Linked DNA regions of Alligator mississippiensis. The protein of the gene in region 1 binds, or shares a complex with, the protein of each later gene. Links are inferred from orthologs where the notes say so. Each region holds a gene or a part of one and is shown on either strand. Other genes may lie near its edges.

Region 1 (10,826 bases):
GGCCCTGCCCCACACACCTGGAAGGGCTGGAAAGAGCAGGGGAAGCTGTTCTGGGGTAAGAAGGAGACGTCCCCGTCCAGGAAAAGGGGCACTATGAGCGCCGCGCTCTGCACCGCCAGCCTGGGCAAGAGCAATGTGGTGGGTCAGCGTTGCCAGGCAGAACCACACAGGAGCCGGGCAGAGCTGCAGCAAGGCCACGGTGCTCAATCCCAGCACTGCCAGCAAACGTGTGCCCTGGGCCCCCTCCCTGCCTGCAGGCCCTGCACTCACTCGGGGCTCAGGTGGGTGCTGGCGGCGCTGATGACGGGCACCATGGAGGTCAAAGCCTCCTCCTCCAGCAGCGCCTTGCCTGGCGCCAGGAGAGCATCCTCTGGGGGAAGGGTGAGTATCGGATGGTCAGCACCCGCGGGGCCTTGGCCCCTGCATCCAGGGACACCCTGATCCAGGCTACGAGGACCCGGTGAAGGGGCACGAGGGGAACCCAACCAGCCCCCCACCCCCAACTGCAGCATCATCCTTGCACCCAGACCTGGCAAAGGGGTGTCTCTGCTCTCAGCCGATGGTCCAGGCACCAGCTGGACGCCTCAGGCCCGAACCCAGGAGCCCCAGCCCGAGCCCAGCCCCACACTCACCTTGCAGGGCAGCCTGCAGGGCCAGGCCCAGCAGACAAGGCACCACGGCCTGGTGGTAGAAGCTGCAGCTCTCGGGGTCGTGCTGGCTCTGCACAGCCACGCGGTGCAGGCTGCGGCACAGCGATGCCGTTTTCCCAGTGTCCCCTGGCTCGCTGCCTGCAGGCAAAGGGCCCATGAGCACCCCCTCTGGCGCTGGCCCCCCCATACCTCCCCTCCCCCAGGCCAGCAGTCCCCCCCCCAGCGCCCTTCACTCCTGACCCACAACCGCCTGCCCGCCAAGTGTCCCTCACTCCGACCCTGCAGCCTCTTAGCTCTGTGGGGGCCTTCACCCCGAACCTGCAGTGCCCTGAGACCCACTTCTGACCCACAGCTGCCCAGCATCCTAGCCCCTGCCAGCCCAGCTCAGTCCTGGGTGCCCCCCTACAGCCCACCCCGCTGCGGGGGTGCTGCACAGTGCGGCCACGTTACCTCTCTGCAGGTGGCGGAGATGCTGCAGCAGGACGGGGACGGTCTCACGCACAATGCTGGGGTGGGTGGACACAGCAGCCAAAGCCTGTAGGCAGCGCTGGTGCCGGGTGCCCTCATCCTCCCGCTCTGGAAGGCACGGCATGGGGTGGGGAGGCTGGCACCAGGGCCGTAGCTGGGACCCCACCAGCCCTGGCCCTGAGGGCAAGCTGCTGCGGGCACCAGTGGGCTTCCTGTTCCTCCCTCCTGCAAATGCCTCTACAGACCCCTCCCCACGTGGCCCTGCTCACAGCACATGGCCTCAGTCCCTAGCCCTGTACCTGTCTGCAGCTCCTGTGCCAGTGCCCGCACCATGTGGTCTGTGAAGGCCCCAGGGTGGGCAGGTGCCAGGGTGCCTGCGGCCTCCATCGCTGCCATGCTACCAAGAGGGGAGAGATTGGGTGAAGGCAGCAGGAGCACCTGTGCCCCAGCCTTGCCTTGTCTGCCGGCAGCAGGCACTGGTCCACAGGACCCCGTTCTGGATTGACCGGGCCCAGCCTGTAACCTGCCTTGGTGCCGACGAGAGCCTGCTCTGGTCTCGCTCCCGTCCCCGACTGGTTCAGCCCCACTGTCCCAAACCTGACACCGCCCCTCGGCTCCAGCAGCTGCTTCCCCCTGGGGACGGTGCTCCCAGTCCCAGCCCCGGGCCACCCATCCACACCACCTGGCCCTGCTCACCTGCTCTGGGGATCCTCCTCATGGAGAACGAGTCGTGTCAAATGGTCCACAGCTAAGTCCAGGTCTGAGGCCACCAAAAGCCCTGTCCCAGGAGATCAGATGTAGCCCAGTGGGGAACAACCCGTCACCCAACTCCACCCCCAGCCCCACCAGGACCCTGCCTGGCGCCGAGGGAGACCCCACCCCTACCCAGAGTACAGGACACCCACCTGGGAGCGCGCCCAGCACGGTCAGGGCCCGGACACCCACTATCTGCAGCTGCACGCTGGGGTCCGTCAGTGCCGAGAACACCACGGAGCACAGCGGGGCACGGACGCCCAGCAGGACGGTCTCGTCTGCGGACACATGGACGCAGAATCACTGGGACGCAGGCCTTTGGGGTGGTGCTGCGCTGCAGTCACCTCGGAGGGGGCAGGGGGAGCAGGGGGTGGCAGGCGACGGCTTGGAGCGGGTCTGAGCCACGGGCAGAACCCTGTCACTCACCGCCCTCCTCGTGCCCCCACTTCTGCAGCAGCTCCAGGAAGCCCAGCAGCATCTCCAGGATCGTCCTCCGCTGGCTGCTCTGCACAGGAGCCAAGACCGGGCCCGGGTTACAGCCCTGCCAGGATGGGGGTCAGCACCGGTGCGGGGGGTGCTCTAGCTCCAACGACCCTGCCACCAACCCGGGGGCAGAGAAAGGCACCGTGGGGCCAAGCCCTGCAGAGACCCCCCACCCCCAGACCAGAGAAGGACCCTGATGCCGGCACCTTGCTGCATACCCCAGAGCCTGCACCCCACCCGTGGGGCCGTGTGACCCCAGAGGAACCGATGCTGCCGGGCGGCGCTCACCTGGGGGTGCTGGTTGTACTGCTCCAGCAGCAGGGGCAGGACGCTGCCAGCGATGTGGTGATAGGCCCGGAGTGAGGCGCTGGCTGCGGCTTGCAACAGCTTGGCACTTGGCCACACCAGCTTCATGTCAGGCTCGCACAGGTGGTGCCGGCAGTCTGGGGACACACACATGGCACCTCAGCCATAGGGTGAACGCGCACACAGGTACACGTGCCTGCCAGCTCACGGCCACAGAGCCAGGGACAGCTCAGCCCGGCCACGGCCCACCCTGTGTAAGGCATCACACCGGGTCAGCCCCTTCCCCAAGCTGGCACCAGCATCTGCCATGCAGCCGGGACAGTTACCTTGCAGCACACCACTGAGAAAGGTGTCCAGCGGGTCGTGGGTGTCGGCGTGGAGCACGGCGTGGGACAGGCAGGCGGCCAGTGCTGTCAGTGTACCCAGGCACTCTGCCTCCAGCTTCTCGCTCGCTGTCTGGAACACCTGGGGATAGGGGTGGGGGCAGCTGCAGGGCCCAGGCCTACACAGACCGTGTACCCCACGCCCCAGGACAGGGGCCACAGCCCGAGCCCCCACTGTAGCCTCCTGACCCACCTGACGTGGGCTGCCCCCCACCTCTGGCAGGGACCCTACCGGCCTCACTCACCTCCCGACGCAGGGAAGCCCAAAGGCTGGGCAGGAACTCTTGCAGCTCCTTGGGCCCGTAGATGGCACAGCAGGCACTCTGCAGGGCACAGCGGGCGCGGAGTGAGGGTGCAGCCCCTGCTGGGGCTCTGGGGCCCCTGGCGGGCTGGGTGGAAGCAATGCTCACCAGGGTTTGCACGGCGTCCAGCTTGGCGCTCTGCAGCTCCGAGTCCATTTTCTCGATGAGAAGCGGCAAAAGGAACTGCGGGGATGGGCTCAGTCTCAGGGTCCTGGCTCCAGCTGGGGCCTCAGGTGGCTGCTGCCTGGTGCTCCCAGACGCTGCTCCTCAGCCTGGTGCCCAGTGCCAGCCTGGCCCAACAGACCCTCCTCCCACCACTGAGCAGCAGCGAAGGAGCTGAGCAGACGGCACGAGGGTGCCTGAGCGCTGGAGCGCAGCTGGTGCCCGGAGCCGAGTGTCCCAGCCCCCCACCGCACGCTGCAGCCCTCCTGCCCTGCGCAGCTCCACACCCCCATTGACGCATCTCACCTCAGCGAACTGGGGCGTGGAGGCCAGCACGGCGCGGAGGCTGACGATCAGATCTTCCCGCTGGATGCCGTGGGGGTCGTTGGGGGGCTGCAACAGAAGCGCAAGGAGCCCAGGGCTCAGCAGAGGCTCCTGGTGCGGTGCCTGGTCCAGCACAGGTGCCAGGGGCGAGGCTGGGACATGCGAGACCTGCCCCCGCCTCGGGTGCCGAGACCCTCTGGACAGCTCCCAGCCCCGGCTCCCTCTTGCGGAAGGGCAGGTCTGGTTTGGGGCTGCGGCTCCGGACGGACTCGCTCACCGGGGTGAAGTCGATGGGGAAGTAGCAGGACGTCACCTCAAACAGCTCCTCCACAAAGGGGCCTGCGAGAGACAGCGGAGCCGCAAGCTGAGCGCCAGCCACAGCCGCCTGGGCCCAGGCCCCGGAGCAGCGTTGTGGACCCGGCGCCGGGCAGCCCGGGGGGGTGGGCAGCGCCTGGCGGGACAGGGGCTCTCACCGAGCGCGTAGCCCTTGAGGACGAGGTCGCGGACGATCTGGAAGGCAACCAGCAAGTTGCGCGGGTCCTTCTCGCCGTCCATCACCTGGATGAAGCCGAAGGTGAAGTCGGTGCCGAGGCTCTTCAGCTCTGCAGGGACGGGAGCAGACACGGGGCTCGCTCAGGGCCTGGCACCCCAGCACCCCCCCCCCCCCCCACGGGGCCTGGGCCCGCACCTTCCTCCCGCGTCCGCATGAAGTTGGTGATGATGGTGTAGACCGTGTGCCGATCCAGCTGCAGCAGCGACTGCGGGGCAGAGAGGTGTCAGCGCCACCCCGACCGCGTCTGTGCAGGGCAGCACCCCGCGGCCCACGGCAACAGCCCGTCCCCGCACACGCAGCGCACGCCTGGGAGCACGTGCAGAGCACAACACGTGTCGCTCTGGATGCGCTACATCCCAGCGGCTGAAGGGGACGTGGGGGCTGCTCACCTGCACGTGCACCTCCTGGAAGATGGCCTTGAGCACCGACACGGCCAGGCCCGGGGCCAGCGCCTCGCTCAGGCTCTACGGACAGAGCATGCGCGGCTGAGAGCCCTTCCTGCCCCGCGCCCCTGGGTGGGCTGGGGCCGGGGCACGGAGGTGCCGCGCGCGTGGCCGGGGCACGGGGGCGTGAACTCACCAGCGCGTGCAAGCCGTGCAGCACGGCGGGGATCACCAGGTGATGGTCCTTCAGGCGCGCCTCGAAGAACAGCACCAGGTGCGTCACTGCGGGGAGCGAGCGCCGCGCGTCACACCTGCCCCAGACGCCGCCACCACCCGAGCCCGGTCCCAGCCCCGCTGCCAAGAACCGCCGCCCCCGGCCCCGGCCCCGGCCCCGCACCTTCCGCGTGGCGCAGGGCGCCGTGGCAGCGCAGCAGGACCTGGCCCAGCAGCTGCAGCCCGCGGGCGCGTGTGCGCGGCTCCGGGTGCTCCAGCGACGACCTGGGGGAGAGGCGGTGAGCGCGGCGCGGCGCGGCGCGGCGCGGGGGAAGGGGACGAGGACGGAGACGGGGACGGGACTCCTACCCGAGCGCCTCCACCACGTCCAGCGCCGTCCAGCTCCCGGCGCGCAGCCCTGCGGGACGGGAAGGGTCAGAGGTGACACACGCGCGCACACACATACGCCCGCCCGCCCGCCCGCCGCGCGTGCAAGCCCCGCCGCCCCGCACCTGCCGCCACCTCGGGCGCGGGCCCGTCCTGCAGCCCGGACACGAAGTCATGCACGAGCGCCCGCAGCGCCGCCATGGCCCCGCCCCGCCTCGCCCCGCGCATGCGCGCCGCCCCCAGCACGTGACCCGGGCCCGGCAGCGCGCGGGCGCGGGGCGGGGCCTGCGCCGAGGGGCGGGCCGCGGGGGCGGGGCCGCGGCACGTGGGGGGCGGGGCCGGGCCGGGCCGGGCCCAGCCCGCTTCCCTCCGCCGGGTCTGGCGGCGCCGGGACGAGCCGGGTCCCGCGGGCTGGCGGGCCGGGCCGGGCCGGGCGGGACATGGGCGGCTGCGTGGGGAGGCCGCGCCGAGCCCCGGGCCCGCGACACGCGCGCAAGCGGGCAGGTGAGCGGGGCAGCCGGTTACGTAACCCCCCCGGACCGCCCCGCCCCGGGGATACGGGCACGGGCACGGGCACCGCGCCGCGACGGGGGCACACGGGGGGCTGGGCCGGGCCGGGCCGGGCTGCGGGGGGGGCAGGCTCGCGCGGGCCGGGCCGGGCCGGGCCGGGCCGTGGGGGGTGGCGGGGGGGGGGGGGTGTTGCGGCCGTGACTCACGCCTGGTTCCCGTCACGGGCCGGGCGCGCCCGAGTAATTGCCGGGCCGGGCTGGGGCAGCCGGAGCAACAGGACGTGCTGCCGCCCCCGCCCGCCCGCCCGCCCGCCGGCGACATGCCCGGGGCCGCGGCCGCAGCGGGTGGCAGAGCCCCTCGCCGGCTGACCGTGCCGCTGCCCGCAGGCCGCAACGAGCCGCTGCGCAAGGAGCGTCCCAAGTGGAAGAGCGACTACCCCATGACGGCCGGGCAGCTGCGCAGCAAGCGCGACGAGTTCTGGGACACGGCGCCCGCCTTCGAGGGCCGCGCCGAGATCTGGGACGCGCTCAAGGCGGCCGCCGGCGCCGTGGAGGCCAGCGACCACGGCCTGGCCCAGGCCATCCTGGACGGCGCCAGCATCACCCTGCCTCACGGTAGGCGCCGCGCCGCGCCGGGGGCCCGGTCCCCGGGGGTGGGAGAGACGGGCTGGGGTGGTGGCGGCCGGGGGTCGGCAGCGAGGGGCCGCGGGTGGGCAGCGCGCCGGCCCTCACCGGCTGTGCCCGGCGCAGGCTCCCTGACCGAGTGCTACGACGAGCTGGGGAACCGGTACCAGCTGCCCGTGTACTGCCTGGCGCCGCCCGTGAACCTCATCCAGGAGCGCGGCGAGGACGAGGGCCCCGAGGCGGCGGAGCCGGCGCCGGGCGCGCGGCGCGAGTTCCCGCTGAAGGTGCGGCTGTCGACGGGCCGGGACGTGCGGCTGGGCGCCAGCATGGCCGACACGGTGGGGCAGCTCAAGCGGCAGCTGCAGGCCCGCGAGGGCATCGAGCCCGCCTGGCAGCGCTGGTTCTTCTCGGGGAAGCTGCTGACGGACCGCACGCGCCTGCAGGACACGCGGCTGCAGAAGGACTTTGTGGTCCAGGTCATCGTGAGCCAGCCGCCGCCCCCCAGGAACTGACCCGGCGGTGGGCACGGCCCCCAGGCCGCGGCGCTCGGGCTGGCCCCGGCGTGGACGGGCACCGGGGCTCGGCCCCCCCGCGCCCCTGGAGGAGTGGCCTGCACCCGCTGGGCCGCTCCTGTGACAGGCGCTGCCTGGGGCGGTGCCCGCGGGGGCTGGCGGGGTCCCCCCGCCTGAGCCCCCTTGGACTGTGCTGCTCGTGCTGGAGCGGAGACGCAGCGGGAGCCGCGGTGCAGGGCGCCCGCGGGGCCGGGGCCGCCGTGTCCGTACTCTGTATTTATCAATAAATCCTTCCCAGCTCGGCGGTCTGCGGGGATGCTGGATGGTGACGGGGGCAGTGGCACCGAGGCCACGTTACCCCCGGGGGTCCTGTGCCCGGCTCCTCCCCGTTGCTGGTTAGCTCCTGGCTCCTGTTGGCTCTGCTCTTCCAAGCGCCCTGTCCTCAGCCCCAGGGCTGCAGCGAGCGTGCGCCTGTGTGTGCCGGCACACGCCTGTGCGGGGGCTGCTGGTGGGGGGTCCTGCTCCACGCTCCCTGCCTGGTGCCCCCCACCCCGGCTTGTTGCAGCGCACAGCTTGTCGCCTTCCCAGTGCAGGACCTGGGGGAGGGACCCCCACTGCACACCGAGGCAGCGACCTCCCGTGACCTCAGAAGGGAAGGGTCAAAGGTCACCCTCAGGCTCTAGGCTGGAGCGTGCCTGCCTCGTGGTCCTCGGGCGGTGATGACTGTGGCATCTCCCTTGCCCCCTCCTCTGGTCCCAGCGGGGCTGCGCGCGGTGCGCAGAGACAGGAATAGCTCCTGCCCGAGTTATTCCAGGCAGGCTGGGGTCTGGCCAGCGTGTCCCTGGGGGCTGGCGGAAGTGCCAGTGCCTGACGTCATCTGCCACAGCAGCGCGGAGGGAGCAGCATGTGCGGCATGGAGCAGGACCCCAGCTCCAGGGGCATCGAGAGCTGCCCTGGGGTACTGGCTTGGGATGGGCCCAGGGCTGCCGCAGGGCAGGGGGTGACCAGCTCCAGCGCTCTGCTGCCCCGGTGCGGTGGCTCTGGCTCCTGCCCACACCACAGGCCGGAGCCCCCCTCGGTCCCCCTGCTGTGCCTGGGGCCCTTTAAGGGCGATGCCCAGCGCTGCGGGAAGGTGACCGGGGAGAATGTGGCCGGTGAGCTCATGACAAAAGCCCCCGGTCACAGTCACGGGGCGGGCACACCTGTCCCTTGGGCGCCGCATAAAGCCTGGAGCAGCCGAGCAGCTGCGGGCACAGCAGCGAGGACCCGCCGCAGCTCCCAGCGCCAGGGCAGGCGGTGCCCAGGGCCGGAGCCATGGCGGCGACTGTGGAGCAGGACCTGAAATGGGCGACGGAGCTCATCGACCAGAGGCTGGCGCAGGAGGAGGCGGCGAAGCAGGCGAGTCCGGGGACGCCGGAGCCGGGCTGAGCCCTGGCGCTAGCCCCGATGGCCCTTCCCTGCGGATCTAGCGCCTTACCCGGGCAATGGCACCCAGCCTGGGGGCTGAGGGTGTCTGTGCTGGGTTTCAGAGCAGCTCTGGGCAGCCGCCAGCGCTGGTGCGGATGGAGGTGCAGGAGCTGGAGGATGAGAAGCACCGGGGGGCCCTTCCCCTCGGCATCGCCGTCCTCAAGGTGAGGGGTGTGGGGGGGCGCAGCTGGGCCGGCCCCTCGTCCCGGCAGGCGGCTCTCTAGGAGCTGTGGCCGCCGTGGTCAGGGGGAGCCCGGGGCAGGGTCAAGAGTAGGGGGGAGAAGCCCGCTGATGGCCAAGCACCACGAGGCAGGGATCCAGGCAGACACCTCACTCCCTCCCTGGTGCAGGGCCAGGAGCGGGTGCGGAGGAGCTCGGTGGACCTGCGGCGCGAGATCATCGACGTGGGCGGCATCCAGCACCTCATCGAGCTGCGCAAGCAGCGCCGGCGCCGGCGGGAGGAGCGGGCCGCCACGCCTGAGCCGGCGCCCGAGCCGGAGCCCGAGGACCTTGTAAGGGGCTGGGGTTGAGCCAGAGCCCAGTGGGGCCTGGGGGTCAGGACAGCACCCTCCGGGCGGGGTCCTGGGGTGTAGGAGTCCCATGTCCCCCTGCCCGGCAGGATGCCGCGGTGGTGCCGGAGACGTTCCTGCGGGCGGCCGTGCGGGGCCAGCTCCGCCTCGTCGAGAAGTTCCTGGCTGACGGCGGCTCCCCGGACACCTGCGATGAGGTGGTGCCCCCAGCCCATCCTGGGCCCCCCACGGGCAGCGCCGGGGAGCTGGGCGGAGGGACGATGCACCGGCTGGGCTGGCAATGCTGCGGTCCGTCTGGCCCTTACGGACCCGGCACAGCTGCTCTGTGCCTGGCAGGGCTGCTTGTGCCCCTGGGTGCTGGGCAGGGGTCTGCAGGCGCCTGGTGCAGGCGGGGGACGCAGCCCTCGGGGTGGGGAAGGTGGAGGGGCTGTCCAGTGATGGCGGTGCTGCCCCGGGGCAGTTCCACCGCACAGCGCTGCACCGGGCCTCGCTGGAGGGGCACATCGAGATCCTGGAGAAGCTGCTGGAGCACGGCGCCACCGTGGACTTCCAGGACCGGGTGAGATGGGGGCAGCCCCCTGTCCCTGCCACGGGTCTGGGGAGGGCACCTGGAGGAAGCATTTGGGGATCAGCCCAGAGCCCCCAGAGGTGGCGGAGGAGCCCTACTGCAGTCTGATTGGCTGCCCGTCCCCTCTGCCCTGCCCCTAGTGGAAAAGCAGCCAATCAGGGGGCTGCTCCTGCAAGGGCTGGTCACCCTTTCTGCAGTGTGAGGGGCATGGGGTCCTGGGTGTGGGTGGGGCAGGGGGAGTTGTGGGGCAGGTGGGGGGGGTTGTGGGACGTGGCCAGGCAGGGGCTGGCCTGGCCCTGACGTGAGCATCTGTGGGCAGCTGGACTGCACGGCCGCGCACTGGGCCTGCCGTGGGGGACACTTGGCCGTGGTGAAGCTGCTGCAGGACCACGGTGCCAACCTCAACCTCGTGGACAAGGTGAGTGCAGGGGTGGGGGTGCAGGCAGGTGCCACCCCCGTGGGTCCCTTTGGGGGCTAACACCCTCCTCCCCCGCCAATCTCCCCAGCTCCTGAGCACCCCACTGCATGTGGCCACACGCACCGGCCACGCCGACATTGCAGAGCACCTCATCCACGTCGGCGTGGCCATCAATGCTGTGGACAGGGTAGGTGCTGTACCTGCTCCGTGGCCCAGGCATGCAGGCGGGAGGGGGTCTGGAGGCCACCGGGCCCCACTGCCTGGTGACGTGGGTGCCCATGGCCACAGGAGGGGGACACGGCCCTGCATGACGCCGCGCGGCTCAACCGCTACAAAATCATCAAGATGCTGCTCCTCTACGGGGCCGACATGCTGGCCAAGAACCTGGTAAGTGCTGGGCCAGGGACACGGGGTGAGGCCACGCCGGGCTGCCCTCACCCCCTGCACCCACCCCGCAGGCCGGGAAGACCCCCATGGACCTGGTGCAGCTGTGGCAGACGGACACGCGGCAGGCGCTGGAGACCCCCGAGCAGAGCAGGGTGGAGGTGGACACGGAGGCGCCGGCATGAGAGCGGGCGCAGGCTCCAGCAATAAAGTGCTGTGGTGGACAGCAGCGGGTCCAGGACCGTGTGCGCCTGAGGCTGGGCTGTGCCAATGCTCCTGCTGGCACCAACCCCGCAGGGTCCTGGTGGAGGGTCTTGCCCCCGCACGCAGGCTCAGCCCCGCGCTGTGCTGGGGCAGGAAGGGATTGCCCCCTGGTCAGACTGGTGCAGACTGGGGGGTTTTGCCTTCCTCTGCAGCGGGGGCACGGCCTGGCCTGGGCTCTGCAGC
Region 2 (11,055 bases), on another chromosome or scaffold:
AGTCTTGATGTTCCACTAGTCAAGCTAACCTTTCTTTTGCTACTTTTCCTCCTCTAACCTACTCCTGGGCTTGTGCCTTTCCTGATTTCACACCCTAGTTTTGTTTAAGCCTCAGCTGCCTCTGCTTCTTCCTGACCTGGGAAGGAACAGCTGGTTATTGATGGCCAAAAGCTATGCTAACTGTGCAATCAGTCCAGCCAACGACTCTAAAACCCTGGCCTCTTGTGCTAGAGTTGTAGGGAATGAGGATGAAAAAGCAAGACGGGCGTAAGGGCTGTAGAGATGGAAGGAATCCTGATGGTTTTGACTCATGACAGAATTACCCCTAGTGTGGAAAGGCAGCAGCAGTCAAGTAACTGCAGGTCTATGAAGTACTGGGGGTAAAAGCAGGTAGGGCTGGGTGAAGATGATGGCTGGTTGTTCACATCTTTGTTTTCACACGTCTCCCCCTGCCAGGAAAGCAAAAGCCAGACCCATAAAAGCCACCCTGCTTGAATAGGGGAGGAGTGGACCGCCTTGCCCACGTACCCGTGGCAGTCACGTTGAGCCCAGTCCAGCTGCCTGGTTTAGACCCCGGCTCAGCATGTGAAAGCAGACAGTTGGGTGATCCCTCCCTGCCCACCCATGAAGGCTGAGCCCCACTGATCCCAACTGCTAGCAAATCTGGTCTGTGGCAAGGGGAGGGTGCTAAGGCTGAGGCTTCCTGGACTAAGGTAGGGGCAGCACATTAGCAAGGCTACAAATGGGAGGGAAGCCTGGCTTAAAAGGAGAAGGAAACTAGGGCCCCAATCAGCAGCTGCCCTGAGTTTGATGTCACTGAGGGCTCCAGTACCAGACATCTGCTGGGGCTTGGGACCATGGTCTCCCAGCCTGGCTGTTGGTTGCATGTCTAAAGCAGCTACATTAAATCCAAATCGAGACCTGGCTTGGTGCCACCAGTTCCCAGCAGCCTCTTCCCCTACCTGCATGCTGCAGGCTGGGCTGTGATTCTGGGGGGCTTCCGTCTATGGACCTTCGAAGTGTACACCACAGCATCTTGTACCCCCTGGACCAGGGCAGGGCATAAAGCAGAGGCCAGACCAGATGTGGGAGGCTTTTTATTGGGGCCTGGCTCCATTTGATGAGGGCAACAGCTGCAGCAGAGGAAACCGCACTACCCTTGCCTTGCTGCTGCCCACAACTTGGGTAACTTGAGGCCCTTTCAAGGAGCAGAGAACCCAATCCCTTGCTGTGCCACTGTCCTCTGGGGGCAACAGCACCACACTCCTGTGACTGCATCTGCCAGGCTTCCTGTTGCCCCAGGGTGGGGGAGACAGAGCCAGTGTCAGGCTCTGCAAGCTCAGAGCAGCAGGCTGAGGTCTCAGCAGCACTCAGGGCGCTGGTACTTCCAGAAGGCCACCTCCCCATCGTCGCTGCAGCTGGCCAGCAGCCCCGGCTCGGCAGGGTTCCAGGCCACACAGTTGACATCTTGGGCATGGGCTCGGGGCACGTGGGCCATCAGGGCAAAGGTGGGCTGCTGTGGCTCCGCCAGCGGCTCCTCCTCAAAGATCCGGATGGCATCGTCTCCACAGGCTGTGGCCAGTGCGCCGGTCAGGTGGCACCTGTGGGAGGAGGGGCTGGTACCATGGGGATTGCCAGATAACTCCTACTTGCCCCCCTCAAGCGTCACTCCCTTCCCAATCTACTCCGTTTTCCACCCCCTGCCAGAAGTTAGCCAAAGGAAAGCCTTCCTCCAGACAGGTGAGGGGGATACAGGGAAGTTGGCTTCTCCTGGTTCTAACAGCATTCAGGGCTCATTGGGAACAGCTGGCCATGGCTCAGTGCCCCCCAGCTCCCATGATAAAGGGGAGAGCCTAGAACCACTTGTGGCCCCAACCTGAGTTCCCCCTACTCCAGGACCAACTCACCAGGCCACATCATAGATGGTGCGGGTGTGGTAGCCAGAGAGGGTGCAGATGCACTTCCAGCTGGGCTCTGTGCTGCTACAGGCCACCCCTACAAGGCAGGAGAAACAGGACAGGGAGCTGCTGCCCCAGACCTCACAGCAGCGCTGGAGGCCACCCAGGGCTTCAGTGCACCAGGCTGATCTGGAAACTAGCAGCTCCCAGCATCCCCCTGCCCACAGCACAGCACAGCTGGGAGACAGATATAGCCCTGCCAGTGCCATCTAGCCACCCCAACGGAGCAGAGCAGGTGCTGGCCTTGTCACACCCTCACCAGCCCTTAGAGTGGAGGTGAGCCAGCCAGACTCCTGAGTCGTTGTCGCCCTCCCCACCAGCCCATACCTGGCTCACCCTGCTCATCACTGCTCCAGATGCGCACAGTGCGGTCATCACTGCAGGAGGCAAGTCGCCGGCCGGCCCCATCAAAGGCCAGGCCCCACACAGTAGACTCATGGCCTTCCAGTGTGGTGCAGCACACCCAGTCATCCTCCTCCTCACGGTACAACTTCACAGTGTCATCATAGCTGGCTGAGGCCAGGAGCTGGCAGGAGAGGCTGGGGTCTCAGGTGGGTTGTTTCTACCTAGTGGAAGGGGGAGGGATATCTAGGGGACAGGGTGCAATCCAGCCATTTTGGACTCCTTCCCCCTAGCCTTTCCCATCCTGCCCCACTGCCCAGAAGACAGAGGCTGGAGCCCCCTGGGGTAGCCAACCAGGATCTCACCTCCTGGGTAGGATGCCAGACCACGTGCTTGACGTCCTGTGTGTGAGAGTTGAGAACGCTCACACACTCGTACTCATCTTCTTCATCCACTGCCAGAGAGGACAGGGTTAGCTGGGGGACTAGGACGTAGCTAGAGGCCCCTTCCCTCCTACTGCCACCACCACCACACCCCAGCCTCTCTCACCTTCCCAGATCCACACACTCTTGTCACGGCTGCAGGTGGCCAGCAGGCTGCCGGATGGGGACCAGGCCACCGACTTCACCTCATTCTCGTGGCCTTCCAGCGTGGTCACGCACTGTTAGGGGGAGAAGCAGTTAATACCAGACCCCAGCAGGGATTAGGTTGCAAAAAAGCTTGGCTACAGGTGGCCAGAGTTGGAGCCAGTGGCAAGGCCAGGCACTCTCAGGGCAGCTGTTTTCTTCTTCTTCCGTCTTCTTCTTGCTCAGACCTAGCCATGGAGCCTGGATTTGATCCACCAAAGGTAGGAGCAGTAGTCTCGGCTCCCCCCAACCACTTCTTCCTGCCCTACACTGCCTGAGGCTTGACCCTCTGCCCCTTTCTGGTGCCCCTGCTTAGTACCCAGGGTTCATACTCCTCCTTGCATGCACCTGCTGGCCCTGAACATGTGGGACATAGCAACCAGACCCAAGCTGATGGCAGGGACAAGATGAGCCTGAGGGAGGTGGGGCCAAGCAGGGGCAGTTCTCAGGCAGCCCTGATCACACCTGGGAGCAAGGTGCGGTGCACAGCTGGGGTGCCTGGCTGCCCTGGGGCAAGGTGTCCCAGCCTGGAGAAGGGGAGGAGGGAGGGAAGAAGGGCTGGTTCTCTACCGCGCCTCACCTCACCTCAAAGCCATCAGGCGTCTTTTTCCAGATGCAGGTGGTGGCATCAAAGCTGGCTGAAGCCAGGTAGTTGCCACACAGCGACCAGGCCACCTTCCGCACTGTGCGCTGGTGCCCTTCGTCTAGCACTGCCCGGCAGACCCAGCTCTCGCCTGCAAGGAACCACACGTCACACTGGGGCCATGCCCTGCTCCCCAAAAAGTGTGTTGTAAATAAGACAATATGGCAGTGGTGCTATGCCAAGTGTCCCCTGCAGTGCTGTCCCCACTCCCCTACACACAAGGTGCATTATCCTGTTCTCGGGGGTGTATAGGTGAGACATTACCAGGGATCCGGGTTTTCTGTTTTCCACAGAAAAATAGAGAAAGCCACAGATTTCCCATTTTTTCATAGATGCTAGGGTCAGAAGGGATCTCAACAGATCATTGAGTCCAACCCCCTGCCTAGGCAGGAAAGAGTGCTGGGGTCATATGACCCCATCCAGATGCCTACGCAGCTTTTTTTAATCAGAGAAAAAATGGGTTTTCCCTTTTAGAAGGGAAACCCATGGATTTCCCCCTTTTGCAAAGAGCTCTGCAGGCTGGCTGAGTTCCAGCCTCGCTGAGTTCCAGCCTACAAGAGCTGTTTGCAAAACGGGCAGGGAACCCACCACCCCTGTCCAGAGGGGAAGGGAGAGGGAAAATGTCAGGGCCTGACAATTGCATTTACCATAGGCTGTTTCAGGCTCACTCTTCTTGCTAGAGGTAAGTGGGGCTTGGGGGTTGTGGGGCAGGGCTGGGGTGCAAGTTGGCTGGGGGCTGAGAGACTGGAGAGGCTTGCAATCTGGGGGGGGGAGTGCCTGGCCCCGCCCCCCCTGGCTCCCTCAGCCCCCAGCCAGCTTGGGCACTCCTTGGCCAGGATGGGGGGTTTGCAGCCCACTGAGCACTCCAGCTGGGAGCAGGGAGGCTGCAACCCCTTCCCCCTGGCCAGCTGCAAACCCTGGGTCGCAAATGCTGCACTCCCCCAGGCCCTCCAGAGCACAGCGTGTGCAACTGGCGCAGCGGGGCCGCACAGGAAAGCTGCTTGCTGTTGTGAGCTCTGCGCTGCCCTGGCCACGCTTAGAGGGGACGTGTAGGTGGGTAAATACGTCACACGGCGTGTGCTATGCCGCGCAATACGGTACCGCGCCCTGCCCCGCCCCGCTCACCCTGGCGGCCCCAGACGCGCACGCTGCGGTCGCCGCCGCACGAGGCGAGCAGGGCCCCACCCGGGCTCCAGGCCACGAACCAGCAGCGCGAGTCCGGGTGCGCAGCCAGGCGGCAGCTCAGCGTCAGCGTCGCCATTCCGCTCCCGCTAGCCGACCCCGCACGCATGCGCCGCGCTGCCGCTCCCGCCTGGGCGCCGCAGTGGGCAACGGGAGCTCACGGCCGCCAATCGCTAAACGCCGTCGCAGGAGAGGGCGTGTCTCAGCGTCATGGCGTCATGGCGCCGGCCGTCAGGGAGGCGGTGAAGTGCGCGGTGACGTAGTCGCCGCCGGCCGGAAGCGGGGAAGCGGAAGCGGAAGCGGCGCCGGGGGTCCTGACGCTGAGGCGAGGCCGGGCCGGCGGCGGTTGTTCGTGGGACGCCGGGCCCGGCCGGGATGTACGCGGCGGCGGCGGGCGCGGCGGGACCGGGCGGGCGAGGGGCGCGGCGGCGGGGCGGCGGCGGCGGGGCCCTGCCTAAGCAGCCCGAGCGCAGCCTGGCGTCGGCGCTGCCCGGCGCGCTGTCCATCACGGCGCTGTGCACGGCGCTGGCCGAGCCCGCCTGGCTGCGCCTCCACGGCGGCGTCTGCGCCCGCCAGGAGCTCGGCGTCGCCGACGTGCTGGGCTGCGTCGAGCCCGCGCTGCTGCGAGGTGAGCGGGGCAGGGGGCTGAGCGGGGGGGGCCCTGGGGCAGTTGTGGCGGGGCTGGGGCGGCTGAGGGTGTTGCTCGGTGCTGCCCGCACACCCTGGGCTGCCCCGTGGCCCCTCCGTATCTCAGGCCGCTCCCTAATCCTGGAGCTGCTCTATGTTGACGCAGAGCAGGCCAGGCCGGGCCAGGGGCTCGGACCCTCTGTACCTCTCTGGGAATCCTCTGGGTCAATCCAGGGACCCACACACGGGTGTTTGTTCCTGTCCAGGCTCCTGGCTCCCGGCCCCGGCCGTGCCTGGCTGAGAAGCCCTGGGCTAACTGGTCGCCAGCAGAGGTGACTTCTGTGCTACAGACCCTGCATCCCCTGTTTCTTTGGCCGTGCGTGAGAAACTCATGCATTCTCTGCCATGTTCTAGCAGGGAGGGGTCCGGGCATGCCAGTCGGCCCCGGTGGTTCCCAGCTGGGGAAGCAGCACAGGGACGCCCCACTATCCTTTTCAAGGTGCCTGGCAGAGTAGCCCCATCCGACATGCAGGCACCTCGACGCAGTCCAAGAGAAACCGAGAGGTTTCCGATAGAAGCCACCGTGTCCCAACCCTGCTGGCTTATTGTGGTCTATCCCAGGTCTTTGCCTCAGGGAAGGAATGGAAAATGTCAGCTCTGGGCTTTCCCAAGGGGGCCCTAGAGTCTAAGGAGGTTGAGGACCCCTGGTGTGGGTGCTAGGAAAAAGCTCTGTTCAGACAGCTTCCTCATTGACTGCTGTCGCTGGGACAGGAAAATGGGTCTGTGGTCAGGTTTCTAAGCCTCCGAGCCAGGATCCCTCTTACAGCTGTATTGAAACGCTTGGTAGGAAAGTCATCTTGTCCCAGGATGTACTGCTTCTGCTTTGGGGCTAAGGTGCTGAAGGGCAGACATGAAGAAGAGGGAAAACACCTTCTCTTTTGCTGGATAGAGGAGGACACCAACCAGCGGCTGGAAGTGGCAGCCAAGGAGGATAAAGTTCAATCTCAGGAAAAACTTATTTTCTGTTAGAACAGCAAGGCAGTGGGATGCCCAGGGAAGGGTGGACTGGAGGTGATCAGGAGGAGTTTGGACAGCTGCTGGTCAGAGGTGATCTAGGTATAGCAAGGGGTTTCAAACTTTTAGTACCAGTGTATCCCTGGCGGGGGTGGAGGGGTGCAGTTGAATGCAGAGCAGTCATTGTGCGCAAGCTTCTCTCACACCCCCCACTATCTCCCATGTGCCTGGCCAGGTATGCGGCGCCTGCGTGGCAGCATGGGGGGTAATACATGGCGGCACTCCTTGCCCACCCACACGTGCCTCTTGGGGCCTTCTCAAGTACCGCCAGTTGACAACCCCTGAGGTATAGCAATGCCTGTGTTTTACTACAGGGATTTCCCAAGCTTCTGGACTTTGTTTGTTGCTCTTCTTCCTTCCCTTCCCCGCTAATTTTTGCTAAATGCGTCAGGGTGTTTTTAATCCTCCCTCAGACTCGCTGGGTGTTGGCTGCAGCCCAGGCTGAGGACGGTGACTAGGCTGTACCAGTGTTCCTGCTGGGACTTAGACCCAGAGGGTCCTGGTTAGAGGGTCTTGCTTCTCTGGTCATGCTCAGATTAAGGCCAGGAAGGGGTCATTTGGGGTCAGGAAGGAATTTTACCCCCTGGTCAGATTGGGAGGGACTGGCAGGGGAGGGTTTTGCTTTCCTCGGCAGTAGGGGCATGGCCTCTGCCTGGGATCTCTTGAGCATCTATTGACAACATTTCATAGAAGCAGGACATTGGCTGCAGTAGTTCCTCTGCTTTCCTTGTGGCAAGTTTGGGTGTTAGGTCTCTGTTGTGTCAGGGCTGAGGGTAGTCTTATGGAGAGTTTAGATGATGGATTTGTCTGGAATGGTTGGATAGGACTGATCCTGCCTCAGACAGGGGGTTGGACTCAATGTGACCTCTGGAGGTCCCTTCCAGCCCCACTTTTCTGTATGATTCTTTGATAAAGGACTTTGTATCTCCAGGTTTTCAAGACTTTTCTCTGTCTAACCTTCTTGGAAACCCAAAGTCTTCAGGAAAAGCATGGCTCCCCATTTTTCAATTACGTTTGTTCTTAGCCCTGCCAGGAAAGTCACATCCTGGCAACACCAGAGAATGGGGGAGTCTCGGTGGAGCCAGGACTCTTTCATTCATTTTGGTTTTGTTGCCCTTGTGGCATTTCTTAGGTCTTTGCCCTGTTCTGTTGCAGCTGGGGCCTTAGATCTGCATGAGCATTAGGTCTGGCTGAGTGTTCCCACAGATGGTTTCCAAGAGATTACATTCCAGGCACCTCATTAGACAATTCTTTCAGCTCAGAAAACGGTCCTCACGTGGTGTGTGTAACCCAGGGTTTTGCTCTTACTCGGCTTAAGATCTTTGGCATGGCGGTAGCTGTGAGGTTTATCTATCATAGATGCGATGGAGAAAGCCATTCCAGATCTAATGTCGCTAGTTGGCACTCTGTTAGCTTCTTGGTAACTCTGCCACCAGGAAAGGTCCCTACAAAAGGCCCAGGTGGCCTCAGCTGCCGACTAAAGTGAAGGCACTCCAGGTACAAAGACCATATAGGGCAGCAGTTCCTCCCCTCTTGAGACCCAGGCCCCCCTTGGCAAATCCCAACTCTTCCTTGCACTTTTTTCTTGTCTATGGAAAAATCCCAGAGCAATTCTTCTGTGGCTAAGACCTTGGCAAGCCCCCAGCAAGGCTGTAGGGTTTGGACACTGGTTTCCTATGGGCAATCTCTGGGTTTCTCCTGTGAATCTTTACACTCATGCTACCACTAATACGGTATAGTCCACTTCAGAGGATCTCGCAGTACCTTGGTCTTAAGAGTGGCTGATGGCCACAGATAAACTATCTGTCTTCAGGAGCAGAGAGAGGCAGTTAGTTAACTGTGATAGTCTAGAGTCAGGCCTAAACCAGGGTAGAGTTGCCCCTTATGGACTAACCAAAACAAATTTTGTAGCATCCTTCGAAGCCAGTTGCTACTTCCCAAAGGCCACATATCTCTGAGACTCTGATTTTTCTTGAAGGTGCAGCTCTGCCCTGCCTATCTTCCTGGAAGGTGGGGGGAAATTGGAGCTTCAGTTTCCTGGTGCCTGTGTCTGTCCTCAGGACAAGGGAACTGGAAAATTGGCTGTTTGCTTGTTTGCATTGTGAGGCAGGATGTTTTCTCCTGTCCAGCCAGGTGGCCGTGGTCTCGCAGCAACATCCAGCCTCTCCTGGGATCTCACAAGAGCAGATTCCATTTGTAAATGTTGAGGTTCCCCCCTAAAATAACCCCTGTCCTCAGTTACCCTTGTATGAGTCCCTCCTCTGAGCTCCAGCAACAGCTGCCTGTTAGTCCCTCTGCAGTGGGAAGAATATTAGGTCTCTGCCAAGCTTTGGCTTTGAGCACAGCAGTCCAGAAGTTCATGTGGTTCCCTCACTCTCTTCAGGATTCCCCATCTCCAGTCAGCAATCACCAAGGGTCCTTTGCACCCTATATGATCATCTAGTTAGACTGGGGATGGTGAATGGGATGTGCCAATGCTTTTGCTGGAACTGAAACCCAGCGGGTCTTTGATAGAGGGTCTTGCCATCTGCTCAGGCTCAGACAAATGCTGATTGGGGTCAGGAAGGAATTTTCCCCTCTGCCTAGACTGGTACAGAGTGGGGGATTTTTTGCCTTCCTCTGTAGCAGAGGCCCAACCTCAACCTGGACTCTCTTAGCCACCTGTTATAAAAGCAGGACATTGACTGCTGCAGTCTTCCTGCTTTCCCTGTGGCAGGTTTGGGTGTGATGTCTGGTGCTGCATCAGGGCTGACTGTGTTGTTTTGCTAAGAGGATGGACGTTGGATGCGTCTGGGATGGTTTTGACAGGGCTGATCCTGCCTCAGACAGAGGGTTGAATTAGATGTGACCTCTGGTGGTCCCTTCCAGCTTGATGTCTTTAGGATTCCCACCTCATTGCCACAAGAGCCTTCCCCTCTCCAGCCCCTGCTAGTGACCACCAGACACAGCAGTTTGGTGTGGGCCTGGGGGCTCCTGGTTAGTTGCCAAGCACTGGTTGGTTGTAGGGGGGTGCCGCAGGGCTGAGAACAGCCTTTGCTGGGTTTAGGACCATACTGCCAGGCTGCTCCTAGGCCAGAAAGTTGTGGAGCTAGTTGTGCTGGCAGCTGTCGTGGGATAGTGAGTGTCAATAGCTGCATTGCAGCTCCTTCTCCAGCAGCCTGGCCCGAGGTCATCCCTGTGCCCATCACCACTTCCTTGGCCTTCCAGGCTTCTTCCTTTTTTCTCTGTCCTCTTCTATCATCCTGGTCCCTTGCTCCAGCCTTGAGATGTGCCAGGTCCTTCTCCTCTTCATCCTCACAGCAGCCAGGGGTGTAACGCTGCTGTCCCTAAGGCACCAGCCCTTTGAGGTTGAGCAGCTACTTTCCCGGCTGTTTCCAGGCACTCAGGAGTGTTGGAGATGGCAGGTCCCCTTCTGGGATCCATTTTGTGTTGACAAATCAACACTGCCAGGCCAGCAGAGCCAGGAGCTAGTGGCAGGACACTTCTTTGCCTCTCCTCCCTAGCCTGAGGCAGTGGGGTGAGTGTCCACATAAATGAACCCGAAATGTGGCTCTGGGTGGAGGTGGGTGCTTACTGCAGCCCCTGCTTTATGATGGCAGCATGCCCATGATGGATCTCTTGGCCCCAGGGAAAGACCTGACTGGTGTGAGTCATCAGCATGGAACCGGGGACTTCCGGACTCTAACTGCACCCTCATTAGCTGAGTCACTGGATGCCTGTCTGCCTCTCCCACTTACTTCCCACTGCACGGGAACCTCCTCTGGTCTGTTGTTGGTAGTGGTGGGGATGACCTGCTGGAGAGCAAGAGGAAATTATTTCCCTCAAGTTCATTAGGGGACAGTAAAGTGTAGCCCATCCCCCTCCTCAAGGGCTCCTCTAATTCCTTGCATCTTCTGCTGCTCTGCTTTCTCCTCCCTGCCCCCTCCCTGATCTGCTGTGTGCCATGCACAGGGCCTTCGTGTGTCAATTGTAGCATGTGTGCTGCAGCTTGCTCCCCCCGGTCTAGTCCAGCTTGTAGCTGGCAGTTGCCTGTGTCAAGTTTTTGCCTGCATGTTACCATCACCATGGCAACAACGTTTGTGTATCAATGGGCAGTAGCCCCAGGTCAAGCACAGCAGAACCACACAGGCTCAAACCAGGGTTTGAGGCACCAACGGCCCACAGACGAAGGCAAATGAGATACCGGTAGGAGGCATGTTGTGGTCAGTCCCACTGAACAGGCTCTGACTTCAGCACCCGAAGAGGAGACCCAACGAGTGCCACAAGCTCCACTAGTTCTATACTCCCTTGTGTACCACATGCCCCCAAAGGACGATGTGCTGTATTTGACAGGGCAGAATAAAAGAGAAGAGGGGTGCCCTGAGACCCTTTGAAGAGTGCCACAGAAAATTAGCACTGTTTGGTGTGCAGACACCCATGCACAAGTCACAAGAGACATCAGAAGGTTCCCAGAGTGTCCAACCACCCTGACCTGCTGAGTTCTAATCCATGAAAGAATTGCTCTGGGACTTTTCCATAGAAAAACCAAGAGCTGGCACTTTCCAAGGCAGAGCTGTAATTGTAGAATCAACAATCTGGATTCATCAAAGAGCTGGAAGATGGC

The links.
Region 2: MMS19 (region 1) and CIAO1 share a complex: the UniProt entries of both Homo sapiens proteins name them as parts of the MMXD complex. The link is inferred for Alligator mississippiensis from reciprocal best matches to the Homo sapiens genes MMS19 and CIAO1.

What each region holds. Positions count from the first base shown.
Region 1 is NC_081829.1:100,701,097-100,711,922, forward strand, and holds the start of MMS19 (MMS19 nucleotide excision repair protein homolog), read right to left. Parts: upstream 5,600-10,826; 5' UTR 5,596-5,599; coding exon 5,493-5,595; intron 5,399-5,492; coding exon 5,350-5,398; intron 5,266-5,349; coding exon 5,165-5,265; intron 5,050-5,164; coding exon 4,964-5,049; intron 4,849-4,963; coding exon 4,774-4,848; intron 4,590-4,773; coding exon 4,520-4,589; intron 4,434-4,519; coding exon 4,305-4,433; intron 4,171-4,304; coding exon 4,109-4,170; intron 3,901-4,108; coding exon 3,814-3,900; intron 3,529-3,813; coding exon 3,454-3,528; intron 3,367-3,453; coding exon 3,289-3,366; intron 3,126-3,288; coding exon 2,987-3,125; intron 2,798-2,986; coding exon 2,643-2,797; intron 2,413-2,642; coding exon 2,298-2,412; intron 2,150-2,297; coding exon 2,024-2,149; intron 1,897-2,023; coding exon 1,815-1,896; intron 1,516-1,814; coding exon 1,418-1,515; intron 1,227-1,417; coding exon 1,101-1,226; intron 789-1,100; coding exon 633-788; intron 371-632; and 4 more. Other genes in the region: UBTD1 (ubiquitin domain-containing protein 1), read left to right, coding at 5,808-5,871, 6,264-6,491, 6,627-7,012; ANKRD2 (ankyrin repeat domain-containing protein 2), read left to right, coding at 8,497-8,643, 8,830-8,991, 9,099-9,206, 9,470-9,568, 9,897-9,995, 10,084-10,382, 10,454-10,589. UniProt on the Homo sapiens protein: Key component of the cytosolic iron-sulfur protein assembly (CIA) complex, a multiprotein complex that mediates the incorporation of iron-sulfur cluster into apoproteins specifically involved in DNA metabolism and genomic integrity.
Region 2 is NC_081830.1:10,376,098-10,387,152, forward strand, and holds CIAO1 (probable cytosolic iron-sulfur protein assembly protein CIAO1), read right to left. Parts: upstream 4,919-11,055; 5' UTR 4,861-4,918; coding exon 4,695-4,860; intron 3,661-4,694; coding exon 3,512-3,660; intron 2,962-3,511; coding exon 2,850-2,961; intron 2,755-2,849; coding exon 2,666-2,754; intron 2,485-2,665; coding exon 2,286-2,484; intron 1,996-2,285; coding exon 1,908-1,995; intron 1,602-1,907; coding exon 1,361-1,601; 3' UTR 1,085-1,360; downstream 1-1,084. Other genes in the region: TMEM127 (transmembrane protein 127), read left to right, coding at 5,127-5,379. UniProt on the Homo sapiens protein: Key component of the cytosolic iron-sulfur protein assembly (CIA) complex, a multiprotein complex that mediates the incorporation of iron-sulfur cluster into extramitochondrial Fe/S proteins.